Linked DNA regions of Danio rerio. The protein of the gene in region 1 interacts with the protein of each later gene in a pairwise test. Links are inferred from orthologs where the notes say so. Each region holds a gene or a part of one and is shown in the gene's direction. Other genes may lie near its edges.

Region 1 (6,949 bases):
GATTGAGAAATGCTGCGTTAAGGCATGATATGAAAACATGCTAAATTATTATATAGATCAAAGATTTTCAATCAGTGGGCCTCAGCGATCCTGCAGGTGGACTGTGAGATGGCTTAAAATTACCTTTAATATTGTACTATAATTATTTGATGTCATTATTAAACGTCATATTAAAAATAAAATAGTAATGGCATTTCCTGTTTTCTGTGATTGAGCAGACTAATTTGGACTGTGCAAAAACAGCCTCACTGTGAAAAAACTGTGGCTTAAATTTCCAACCGCTGCGCGTCAAATGGGACTATGTTCTCAGTTGTATAAAGCAAACAGTTATGCAAATGTAAAGGTAATGTTGTTTTATAATAAGCAGCTCACGCTTGCCTCACGTCTGCAACTCATACTGTATCAGAGTCACACAAGTCTCCTGATTCACAAACTATGTATTTTTTCTTTGTGTGAACACTTTAAAACATCCTCATAGTTGTCCAAATTAACATCTTGCGAGCGTTTTATAACTAAAGTGAGTCCGTACAGGAGGATCTAGCAACAATCTGTGGTGTTTCATTTATGAACAGCCGTTCACCTTTCCTGTCAGCGAACTCTAATAATGTCCAGCTACAAACTAAACCACCATCAGATCGATTTTTTTCAACATATTTAGATGGTTGTTTCTTTATTTTACATTTAGGGTTGGGGTTAAGTGGATATAAATCAATAGATGAAGAAAAGGCCCAAATACTCTGCAGCTTTAAAGAATAACTGAAGGAAAGAATTCAGGAGCTTTGAACCTGTCTGTGTGTTTTTAAAGTTTTATATATATATATATATATATATATATATATATATATATATATATATATATATATATATATATATATATATTCTTATATATATATATATATATATATAACTTTATATATATACATATATACATAAAAAAATGTTGAAAAACTAGGGAGTAATAGAGGGCAAAATAAATGTTTTGCTAATAAATAAAGCTTTAAAATAAGCATTTTCTCTAGACCAGGCATGTCCAAACATGGTCCTGGAGGGCCGGTGTGCTGCAAAGTTTAGTTCCAACCCCAATCAGACACACCTGGGCTAGCTTATCAAGCTCTTACTAGGCTTTCTACTCTAAAAACATCCTTGCAGGTGTGTCAAGGCAAGTTTGAGCTAAAATCTGCAGGACACCGGCCCTCCAGGACAGAGTTTGGTCACCCCTGCTCTAGACAATCAGTTTGGGTCTTCAAAAATTTTTCAGAGAAAAAGGTGGGCCTCGAAGTGAAAAAGGTTGAGAACCACAATCTAGATAACAACAGATAAATGAACAAAAAAGATGGTTTTGTGGGTTATGAACTGTAAAAAATCTCAGCTCTCGTTGGGTTAAATAAAAGCCACTAATAACAAAGCACTCTGTTTGCAGCATGTCTGTGACCCAGGCTATGGAATGGCTGATTGAGCATGTTGATGACCCCATGGTTGATGCGCCTCTACCAGGACAGGAGAGTCCAGGGGCAGCCGCCGCTGCAGCGCCTGCTCCAGGAGCCTCTGCCACAGCTTTAGCAGCCCGTGCTCGTTTGATCTCCCAGGCCAGCATAGACGAGGCCAAACAGGATGAACTGACAGAGATCTTTAAAAGGATCAGAAGAAAAAGAGAGTTCAGACCAGACTCACGGGTTAGTGTCATGTGAGAGTCATGAGAAACACAAGAAGAACAGTTGAGTTTTAAACTCAAACATTGCTGTAGCACTAATATATGCCCAAGCCATTTTGAATGAGATGCGTTGTGTCGTTTGTGTGTAAGCAGGCAGTGATTGCACTAATGGAGATGGGCTTCGATGAGAAGGAAGTGATCGATGCTCTCCGCGTCAATAATAATCAACAGGATGCAGCTGTATGTAAACACTTAAAGAATTGTATCAAGTATATTGTGTCATTTCTTCTGCTAATTAAGATGCCTCAAATTTCTAACTAGTTATGATTCTTATTAAAGTGTGACTTGTTTTAATGTTAAATCTATTTTCCCACACAGTGCGAATGGCTGCTCGGTGACAGAAAGCCCAGTCCTGAGGATCTGGACAAAGGCATCGATACCAACAGTCCACTGTTTCAGGCTATCCTGGAGAACCCCGTTGTACAGCTTGGTCTCACAAACCCCAAGACTCTTCTAGGTGACTTCTCTCTCTAAATACGTATGTTTTTTGTTTGTTTTGTTTTTTTTTATAAATGAAAAGAAGGTTTGCCAGTTTACATAGACACATTTGTGAACAGGAATTTTATAGTCAAATAATAGTTGCAGTTTTATCTGCTGTGTAGTTTTCTGCTGGATAAAGGTATTTTTGCTGGTATCATGGAGGTTTTTCAGTCTTTATTTGATTCTGTTCATTTGGCCACTTATCACAGCTAGTTTTTCAAATTTTGAAAAGTAACCTCAGACTTTTATGCTCCAACATCACGCTCGATTGTAAGATGACGTTATTTGGGTGTTGTTCTCTCTGTGGTTTGTGTTTAACATAGCACTTTGCTGTCAGGCCAAAGTGCTCAATTTTCACTTCATCAAACCACGGCAGTTACTTTCAAAGCCATTCAGCTGTTGTCACGCGGCTTCTCACAATCTCCAGTTATAGTCTGGACTGGCATGGAAGTGACTTTCTTTCTAGCCACTCTCATAAAAAGGGCTTAATCTTTGGAGTGCTAAAAATATTAGTGATGGCTGGTCAGTATGTCCCATTTTTTTCCAATCGCAGTTCTGACAGTGACATCTTAGTTTCATTTTTCTTAACTTTGTGTTTTTGTCTTGTTGCTCCTCTTGGTTATGCTGAGTTTAGACTAGAGGATTTTCGAAGTAGTCGTTTCACAGGTGTTTTCACACTGCATGACTCTTTGGGGCAGCATTTAGTTGCTGCTGTGTTTACACTACAAGATGGATCAGCGATGGGGTTTCACACTGCATGACTTTACAATAGGAAAAATCGGCGACAACTTTGTCTGAGTCTGCAAAAAATGTCTCACAACCAAACAAGCAAAAATTAACATGAAAACAATGCAGGGTATACCCAGATAACGTTTTGTTATTAACTACATAATGGGAAAGAAGACTTTAGTAAGCTAGAAACTAAACTGGGTTTTGGAGGGAATTAGAAATTTCTCCTTAACTTTTTTTCTTTGTCGAGCCGGTCGTGGTATTCCTAAGATGACATGTCTAACACACACAAGTGCTCCTGACAAATGTACACTAGTTTTTCCTTCATTTCTTGGGTCCAAAAAAGACTAAAATGAAGCACTTATAATTTCTCCCCCAACCTTCCGCTGGCCTGCAGATACCTATACTAGTGGATGCTGCTCTCTCATTGGCTGAAGATGTTTTTTTCAATCAGAACACATTCCACACAGCATGATTTTGAATCACAGACTGCTCCAGATATTTAGCATGCCAAATATCTCACGGGTGTCAGTGACTCATCAGCGATTCTCTCAGATCACGTCTTTGATAGTTCTCACTGTGTGATAGTTACTCGCATGAACGAACACAGAGTTGCCTTTGATTTTTAGGCATTTGTTGGCGATTTCTCAAAACCTGTCGGCGAGTCAAAATCTGGGCTAAAATTGTGCATTTTGAACTCTGCATTAGTAGACAACATAAAGGGACCCAAAAATGAAATTTTACACACTATTAAAACCTGATTGGTAACACTTTAGAATAATGATCCATTAGCAAATTTTTGTTCATCTATTTACTGATATTAACCAAGTTTGAATAATGTTGTAATAGACAAATAGAGGAGGAATGGATCATTTTTAAAATATCTTCCCATTGACCTTCCTCAATACCAACACAAGGTCATTTTTCTCAAGATTCTTTGAGAGAAACTATAGGATCTGCGTTTAGTGTACTTATTAAATTATAAATAGCCGAAATTAGATGTTTCTGGTGAGTACTGAAGGAATAGTCAAGATGGTGTTCAGGGAAACAATTTCTTAACAAAGTGTCTGACCTGAAAGAAACAAAACAAATGACTGTTGTGAAGACTGTATTTAAAAAAAAAAAAGATGTGAATACCCCCTCCTCACATAAATCATTTACCTCAACAAGTCCATTAGCTGCCCAAGTGCGAAAAGAGTAATTAAAACAAGATTGTGAGAAAAAGTGTATTGTTTAGTATGGGCATTTTAATAATGTTAGTGACTACTAAGTTAGAAGAAATTCTGCTAATAGTTGATGAAAGCTGGGAGCTGAATGATCTCTGAGTGAACCAAAAGGAGACAGTAAATCAGCACATATTTAAAATGTTCATCTGTATTCATAGGCGTTGACCTATATGTCTCCAAGGCTAATATTTAGCTTTTTTTTAAATCATCTGATTTTTTTTCCTCTTATGTTTAGCCAATGCATTGAAAGCAGGACTACTATTTTGAAAGCACGAAGAACACTAGATAGGGCTAGGAACACCAGAGCTTGACACAATTCTAACATTTTTGGTTCTATACACCAACAAAATGGATTTGAAATTAAATGAACTTGTATGCTTTAACTGCAGATTGAACTCTAATCCGGCCTTCCTGTTTTTCTTGATTGTTGACTCTGACACACATACACTTACCTCCTGGAGAGTGTTCTAGATCTGGCCAACTGTTAAGTAGAAAGTGTTTTCGGCACAGGGAAATAGTTCTTTGGTCTTCCACCATAGTTGTTTTTTCAAGAATGTTCCAAACAGTTGTTTTGGCCACGCCTGATGTTTTTGCTGTCTTATTGATGGGTTCGTTTAGTTTTTTCAGCCTAATTATGGCTTGCTTGAGAGTTGACAGTAACAGAATCTAGATACAAATAGTACATTTGAAATGAACTCTGGACCTTTTATCTACTCATTGTAATTGGGATAGAGAGAGAATAACACACATCTGGCCATAAAACAGCTGACTAGCCAATTATCCAATTACTGTTGGACCCTTAACAAGTGGGAGGCACATCTGCAAACTGTTGTAATTCTTACAGTGTTCATCTGATTTGGATGTAAATACACTCAATTTAAAGCTGACAGTCTGCAGTTAAAGCACATCTTAGTTTAGTTTCAAATCCATTGTGTTGGTGAATAGAGCTAAAAATGCTAGAATTGTGTCCCAATATTTATGGGCCTAACTGTATCTATACTTTTGGGGCTTTTCAGCATTTGAGGACATGCTGGAGAATCCGCTGAACAGCACACAGTGGATGAATGATCCTGAGACGGGTCCCGTCATGCTCCAAATCTCCAGAATCTTCCAGACACTAAACCGCACATAAGCACACCTCATCGCTGGAGCAGCCGGAACCACAGTGCAGGGGAAAATGTAAATCGTTTATAAGAGAACTGTGTGAGTTTGTGTGTGTGTGTGTGTGTTTGTGGCTTAATTATTGTTTTAAGTGGGAAGTCACAGATGATGAATGTAAAAATACTATGATGACATTTTCACATCATGATATACAGAGGAAAATATCTATTTATAACTTTACTCAAGACTTGTACAAAGCAGTAACATAAAGATAAATCGCTAACTACATTATTTAGTTTTTTATGTTTTAGGAAGATCTGTTTTTAATTATGTTAAGCACATGCTTTATTTTATATCATTTCCCTGTGTAACTGTACAATTAGTCATCTAAAAAGAAAAAAAGGAATTTTGTATGTTACTTGTGCGCAAAGATCAAATTATAACCAAATTATATGACAGCTCACACAGTACATTTGTCATAACTGAATGTTTCTACTGGGAGGTAAACATATATTCAGTTAGTTTTATTATTGGTTCAAAAACAATTATGTGATATAATAGATGTTCCTTACACCCACATGAACTGAACATATGTTGGGGGAAAGCGAGCACCAGCAGTTTTTCTGCAATTCATTTAAAGATGATTCAAACATGGTACAGATATGTGATGTGGAGCTGACGGAAGCCCCTTGCGTACGCTGATATATGATAGATAATGAAATCTAACCTGATCCCTTTGTTTCTTATATCTCTCATTCTATTCATCTATAAACAGACTATTCAGGTGGAATCTGTCCAAATAGACACGAGTCAGTTTTTGTTTTGTCCTTTTAGAACAAAAATGTTATATACGTAAATGAGTACTGGATCGTTACCTTACTTTACTAGCCCCTGCATCAGGGGTTTTCAAGTGATGTATTGCAGTACCTTTTTATTATCCACTATTATGATCAAGCTGCTGCCTCTATATTGCTGTACTTACAGCAGGCTGGGAAATCAAGAAACTTGTTTCTGCCATGGAAAACAATTGAAATTTACATTATATTATTTTATACAATTTATATTATTTCTATAAAACAGTTTATATTTTACAATTCAGACTTTTCCTCTGAGATTTGTGAATTAAATCTCACATTAGCATGTTATGAACTTATATTTGTGAACTGAAAGTTCTACTATATTATACTAAATGCCTAGAATTCTGAATTTAAGTTTGGTGTTGTGAATGAGTCAGGATTGTGAGAGCGTGCTATTTCAAAAATCACAATAAATAAATAAATAAAAATGAAAACTGCAATAGTGAGATATAAATGAAGAATTCTGACTTTCTTGCAATTGCAGGTTTAATTTGGAGGTTTCTTATTGTCAGCAGTGGGTATTGTTTCACTAATTAATCATTTGAAATTAAATAATGAAAAAATGACTTTTCCGGAAATTTCCGATTGGTTGTTGGTTTATAAACTTTTTTTTTATAGATTTTTGTTAGTACATGTCGTTCTTAGGATTTAAACTGACTGATGATACTAGGCTGCAGGACTTATTTAAAACAATACAAGTAAACAAATTTAAAATCAGGACATATTTAAGTATATAAATGAAGAAATCTGACTGACTTGTCTGTAATTGCAAGTGTGATTTGTATTTTTTTCAACAGTTGCTATCTTAAAAGCCTGCAGATGTACAATTGTAAGAAATATATACT
Region 2 (6,212 bases), on another chromosome or scaffold:
ACAAACCTTTTAATCTCTGTTGGATTCTGGAATGTTTATTTGTAGCTTGTTGGGCATTTGGCTACCTAGAGCCAGGACTTGAACTCGGGTTGTGTAACCAGACTGCATGTAATAGTGCTGCCAACAAATCCGTCTCTTCCAAACACAAGTTGTTGCACATGTACAGTTATGGAGCATCTAGCTGATGTCTTATTTGGTAAAACTGAACGTATAATATTAATATAGCAAGTTTAGTTTCCTATAAATAAAAATTTGAGATTAACTTTGTTAATGAAAAACAAAATTCAACAGACATTTACCACAAATCCACAACTAAACTTTCTTAACAAAAATGCATTATTATATTGGATTACACATATAAAGTACATGAATATTAAAGTATATATCTGAGGATTAGTTTACGCAAAAAAAATAATTTTGTTATTAATTTCCCTCATGTCATCTCATACTAATCTTTTTAAAACATTGTGTATCTTTAGAACATAAATTCATATATTTTAGATAAAACCCAAGAGTTCTCTTATCTTCCATAAACAGTTATGGTCAGAGACACAAATAATCCAGAAAAGGAATCAAAATATTGTCAAAACATTCCATGTTACTTTATTGGCTCAATTTTAATCGTATGGAGATCCAACACTTTGGCACATGCTGTACGTTGTACATCCCTGTAATACACATGCACCCTGACCTGTCAGGAAGTTAAGTTTTAGAAGAACAAATTGTCCAGTCAATGTTCCTATTACTTTATTGTATGTATTGTTACTATTTCTTTGGCTATTTACTGCTACAGTAAAAGTGGATCTACAGGCATCTGAACCATGAGATGTCCTAAGTTACTCATACATGGCTTTTCTATCTTTGCATATTTCTTTTTGCTAAATAAATAACGACACAATGTGAGATGTTATGTGATGTTGATCATCTTCCAAATTTTAAAAGGTACAGTATGTAAAATTGACATAGTGGTTGACATGGGTATTGCTGTCCAAATTCAAAACACCGGAGTGGGTTTTTTTCACCCAGCCCTTCCTCTGACAACTCCACACACATGTAGGTTGCCAGGTTGACCACACAAACAGGAGCCAAGCATGCATAACTATCGGGCCTACAGTATACCGTGTCCTAAATACATGCAGAAAAGTGGAATCACTGACTTAAGCATTGTTTTTCAGATAAACGTATTATAGTAATTTGATGCTTTAGAGGAGTCAAAAACTCACATTGAGACCTGCAAAGCACCGTATTTTTTTTTATTATGTACTGCCATGCAACACTATTGAATGGTGTGTCCCACTATTCAATGGTGTGTCCTAACCTTTTCACATAATGGACCCTTTTCACACTTCTGGGTTTCTCAGCAGCAGATGTCATCACAGTTGAGTGAATTTAAAGCGCAGTGAATGGGAGAGTACAACAAATATTTGTTTACAATTCTGTTTGCTCTAATAAAATAAATATTACAAAGAAAATAATATCAAAACATTCAGAAAAGAAAAAAATTTGTGTGAGACTGATAAGGCAGCCAAAAGAGAGAACAATGTCAAATACACTGTCCCGCCCGTAGACACTGCATTAAAAACATAACTGTTTTTGTTTATAAGCTTTTATGTAATTTTACGCAAAGATAAGATAATACATACATAAATGCATATAAATGTGTATACATTTAAAAAAAAAATCTAATTAAGGGTTAAGGATGCTGATGACCATTAAACACATCGTGACAGTCTTGTGAAAGAGGTCCATTGTTTCTCAAATGTAACCAAATGCAATTGCTTATCAGTTCAGTAAATCGGCAGTGGCACCAACACCACCTCTCGCAAAATTTTATCAAACTAGCAGGAAAAAGGATCGCAAAGTGTGACCATTTACTCACAGAGGCCTGATATATGACTTGTATGTGATTTGCAGGTGTTGCAAACTCAGCTGGAGTCGCTGCTGCAGGGGCAGGATGGCATACGCAGCAGCTGCAGCTTCACCGAACAGGCTCTTAATCACGGCTCTGAAGCTGAAGTCCTATTGGTCAAGAAGCAGATGAGCGAGCGTCTGGATGAGCTGGCCAATCAGGAGCTCCCACTGCGGCCAGAGGAGAACAATCAACTGGACTTCCTGGTGGAGACTGACGGTCTTCGCAAATCCATCCACAACCTTGGTGCCATTGTAACAACCAATGCTGTTGCAGCAGAAACTGTAGCCACCGGTGAAGGCCTGAGGCACTGCATTGTGGGACAGCTGACGTCTGTCACAGTAACAACTAAAGACAGAGACGGCGGGCTGTGTCGGACTGGAAATGCTCTGCTCATAGCTGATCTTTCTGCTATTGATGGCAGCATCGTGGGTGAAGGCAAAGTCACGGATCATAAAAACGGCACTTATGAGTTTGTATACAGTGTCCCATGTGAGGGCCGCTTCACGCTTACCCTCAAGCTCTATGATCAGCACATCAGGGGCAGCCCATTCAGCATACGAGCCAACAAACCCACAGACATCTCTCTTACTGCAGATGTGGACAAAAAACGGCTCAAGTCTCCAGGAAACAGCCATGTGAAGCAGCGGGCCATCAAACGGCCTGCCAGCATGTACAGCACCGGCAAACGAAAAGAAAACCCAATTGAAGATGACCTCATATTCCGAATCGGTATGATAAGCATTAGAAATCAATGTTGTGACAGTCACTATTAAAGGCAATTGCTTTTGTTTGAGAAAACTTCAAACCTCAAACTTATTGCCCATTTCCACTAACTGGTTCAGTACAAGTTGGTACGGGCCACCTTTTAGGCTTGCATTTCCACTGCCTAAAAGGGTAACCTTTGGGTGGGTGTGCTGTATGACAGAAAGTTTCAGTCGACATCATTTTCGCTCAAGGAAATGTCAAAGTAAAGCTGTACGTGTGTTGTTTACATCATATGAAAAGCACTTTGCACAAAACAGATGCTTTATACACATAAATACTTGTGTATAAATGTTTATTACTAACTTTCCTATGAACATGATTTGATTATAACTGCAGATCAATAATAGTGCGCAATAGCCTACTGTAATCACATAAAATAAATAAATAAATGCAACATATATGAACACATAAAGCCCCTTACAGTATTTAATATGTTACCAATTACAGAAAAACAACACACAGCATACGTTTAATCCTTATTTGGGTTTAAAAACGACACGCAACATATAGCCCACAGTTAGAGCAAACCTCTCATCTGTATCTTTAATCTTCACCAGCACATGTAACCTCTGTTAGAAAGTAATTCCGTCATTCCGAGTTCTTAATGGAGTTCTTTTGTAAACTTCTAAGAGCCCAAAAAACCAGGGAGAATCTTTCGGTTGTCTTCAAAGCAGAATCCTTTTTAATAAGAAGAACTCAGTGTGGCTGTGGCGTCATCAAAAGCAAACTCTAAACTCCACAGCAAACATTATACATTTTATACATTTTACAGCATGTAGGTGGGGTTAGTCATGGTGGGGACAGTCAAACAAAGCATGCAAATGAAGTCTGGTTGTCTGCAGGGTGCCATGCTTTCTCCAGGTCTGATCTCATCAGTATATAAGTACATCATTACAACAATGTGCAAATGATGTTCTGGAGACAGAGAAGACAATAGATACAGCCAAGCTGTGAAACTGATAATTGCATCACTTTGGCTTAGCCTGTAGTCAGCAAGGCAAAGGTTAAATGTCCCTCCTAGCTGGCATGTCAATAAAATGATATAATTAAAAACCAAAGAATATAACTTTTCAGTTATACGTAGATTATTGTTCATTTGGAATTAGATTGTAGAAATGTATATTTCCACAGTTCAAAAACATGGCAGTTTGTTCATGTTTAAGGTTGGTGAAAGAATCATTTGTTTTTTTGGCTTCTCCTTTGTTTTTTCGCACTTCACTTTCGCGTTTATCCATTTCCAAAAGAATCAGATGTCAGAAGCACTTCAAAAATCACGCGCACGTTATTATCATCAGCTCAAGAAGTTTGTTATTTCAAATATAGATGCACGGCGAGTGTTTGCAAGCTCTCTGGAGAAAGTGAAACCGCTCGCACTTTTAGATGGCCTCTTAAAACAAAAACAGGACACTGCAGATTTTGTTCGTGGCTTTGTGGCCGTTTATCAAGACAACGACAAGGTTTGTCTGAGCTCGGGTCAACCATGGCTTGTTATTATATGCAAATAGTATTATGATATAATGTCTCGGCTGTGAATTTAAATATGAAGGTTCTTTTATTTTCATCCTGCACGAGTGACGCTTCTCTATAAACTAATAGCATTCAGTTGCGCGTCTTGCTCTGCTTTTTGGTACCATTTTGCCGTGTTAGGTACCCTTTTCAAAGGGTGCCCAAAAAGTGGTACGGTACGATTCGCTTTTAGGTATCTTTTGACAGTGGAAACAGCCATAAAAGTGTACTGAACCATATTATCCATATGGGCCATTAAAGGGATATTTCACTCAGCCTTTTGAATTTACGCATATTTAAGTGGTTCCAAACTTTGAGTTTCTTCTGTTGAACATTAAATCTATCTTGAAGAAAGCTGCAAACCTGTTACAACTGACTTCCATAACAGGAAAAACAAAACTATGGACAATAATGGTTACAGGTTTCCAAATTTCTTCAAAAAAAAATCTTCTGATTATTCTTAAAAATATATGTCAAACTGCTTTGGATCAAATAGAGGAGTAAACAACAAATATGATCATTTTGGGGTGAACTATACCTACTGTATACTCTAGTTCAAAGTCTTAAGACCAGGTGGAAAATGACAAGTATTCACATTTTGTTTCTGGTGGATCACAACAGGTTGTAATGCCAAAAGAAGAGCTTGAAGCACATGACAAAAAAACAGAGCAGGCAATGTCATTATCACTTTAACATTCATTTTGGCATGCTTTATTCAACAGTTTCCTGGAGGCAGTTGGGAACATTAATTCCATGTGGTGTAGATTGCTTCCCGAAAGGCATTCATGGTCTCGAACTGACAGACATTTTATGATAATAATTTTCAAAAGCATTTTACACAAAAACATACAAATATAAAACAGTTTAGAATAACAGTAAAATTGCATTATTTAAGATAAAACATTCAGAATGATAAAACATTAAAATATTTTAAAACATAAAACAAACCAGGAATGCACTCCTCATGAATAGGCGAGTGTAAAGTAGTGAGTTTTCAAGGATGATTTAAACAATTTAAAAGATTCAGCTAGTCTAATGTTATAAGGGAGAGAGTTCCAGAGACTCAGAGCCAGGGATGAGAAAGCCCGGTCACCCATAGAGTGCAGACGAGTGGAGTGGACTGTTAAAAGACCAGAGTCAGAGGAACGGCAGTCACGTGAAGGGGAGTACCATGATAGAAGTTCAAACTAAGTGGGGTGAGTGTGTGTGCTGCTTAAAAAGTGTGTGTGTCTTCCAAAACGAATGTGGAATGATCCGATTGGCTAGCTAATGATTAGCGATAGGGACCAGCTGCAGTCAATCCCATGACATGCACCTCTAGAAATTAGTTTGCAAAACTTCACTTATTATTGTGTTAAACTGGTCTATTGGTCTTAATAATTTGATCAGGAGTGTACATCTTGAAGGCCTGGTTTACACCTCATATTTAAGATTCTTTCATAATTGAGTCAGAAAATCAACTACTTTTCTCCCTTAGCTCACTTTCTTTGGTAATACATGTACATGGCAATTACTCTCAGATCTGCACCAAAACACTTGGTCCAAGATTGCATGAATGCTGAAAATTTGGGCTGAATATATTTGTTTTGTTTCTAATCATTTGAAACCTCAGTGGGGAATGTTTTGCATTTAATTTGCATTTAATGCTTATGTTAATAAAAAATATTTTGTCCCAAAGGAACAAAAGGCAGAAATAAGGGTGAATTTACCAATCTCCAGGGAGTTGCTGCTTCTTCTGTTGGCAAAGTCTTAATAGCGGATAGTAACAATCAGTGTGTTCAGGTATAAATTCCACACTTTAAAAATCTTTTTTTTTTTTTTTTGCTTGTTTTCTGTGGGTTGCTTAATGCCTGTTCAAATTACTGACATTTGTCATAGAAGAAATGATTCATTTAGTGTTGAATGTAAATTGTGTTCTTGCAGATATTTTCAAATGATGGCCAGTTTAAGAGTCGTTTCGGAATCAGAGGCCGATCACCGGGACAGCTTCAACGGCCTACTGGTGTTGCTGTGCACCCCAGTGGTGACA

What was found. The genes of interacting proteins can lie anywhere in the genome.
Region 2: the proteins of ubac1 (region 1) and trim2a interact in binary tests that used the Homo sapiens proteins (3 or more experiments, as listed by UniProt). The link is inferred for Danio rerio from reciprocal best matches to the Homo sapiens genes UBAC1 and TRIM2.

The regions. Positions count from the first base shown.
Region 1 is NC_133180.1:55,324,394-55,331,342, forward strand, and holds the end of ubac1 (ubiquitin-associated domain-containing protein 1), read left to right. Parts: intron 1-1,420; coding exon 1,421-1,673; intron 1,674-1,801; coding exon of another isoform or gene 1,802-1,804; coding exon 1,805-1,891; intron 1,892-2,029; coding exon 2,030-2,168; intron 2,169-5,162; coding exon 5,163-5,278; 3' UTR 5,279-5,641; downstream 5,642-6,949.
Region 2 is NC_133176.1:26,947,523-26,953,734, reverse strand, and holds part of trim2a (tripartite motif-containing protein 2), read left to right. Parts: intron 1-1,914; coding exon 1,915-2,641; intron 2,642-5,861; coding exon 5,862-5,965; intron 5,966-6,106; coding exon 6,107-6,212. UniProt on the Homo sapiens protein: UBE2D1-dependent E3 ubiquitin-protein ligase that mediates the ubiquitination of NEFL and of phosphorylated BCL2L11. Plays a neuroprotective function. May play a role in neuronal rapid ischemic tolerance.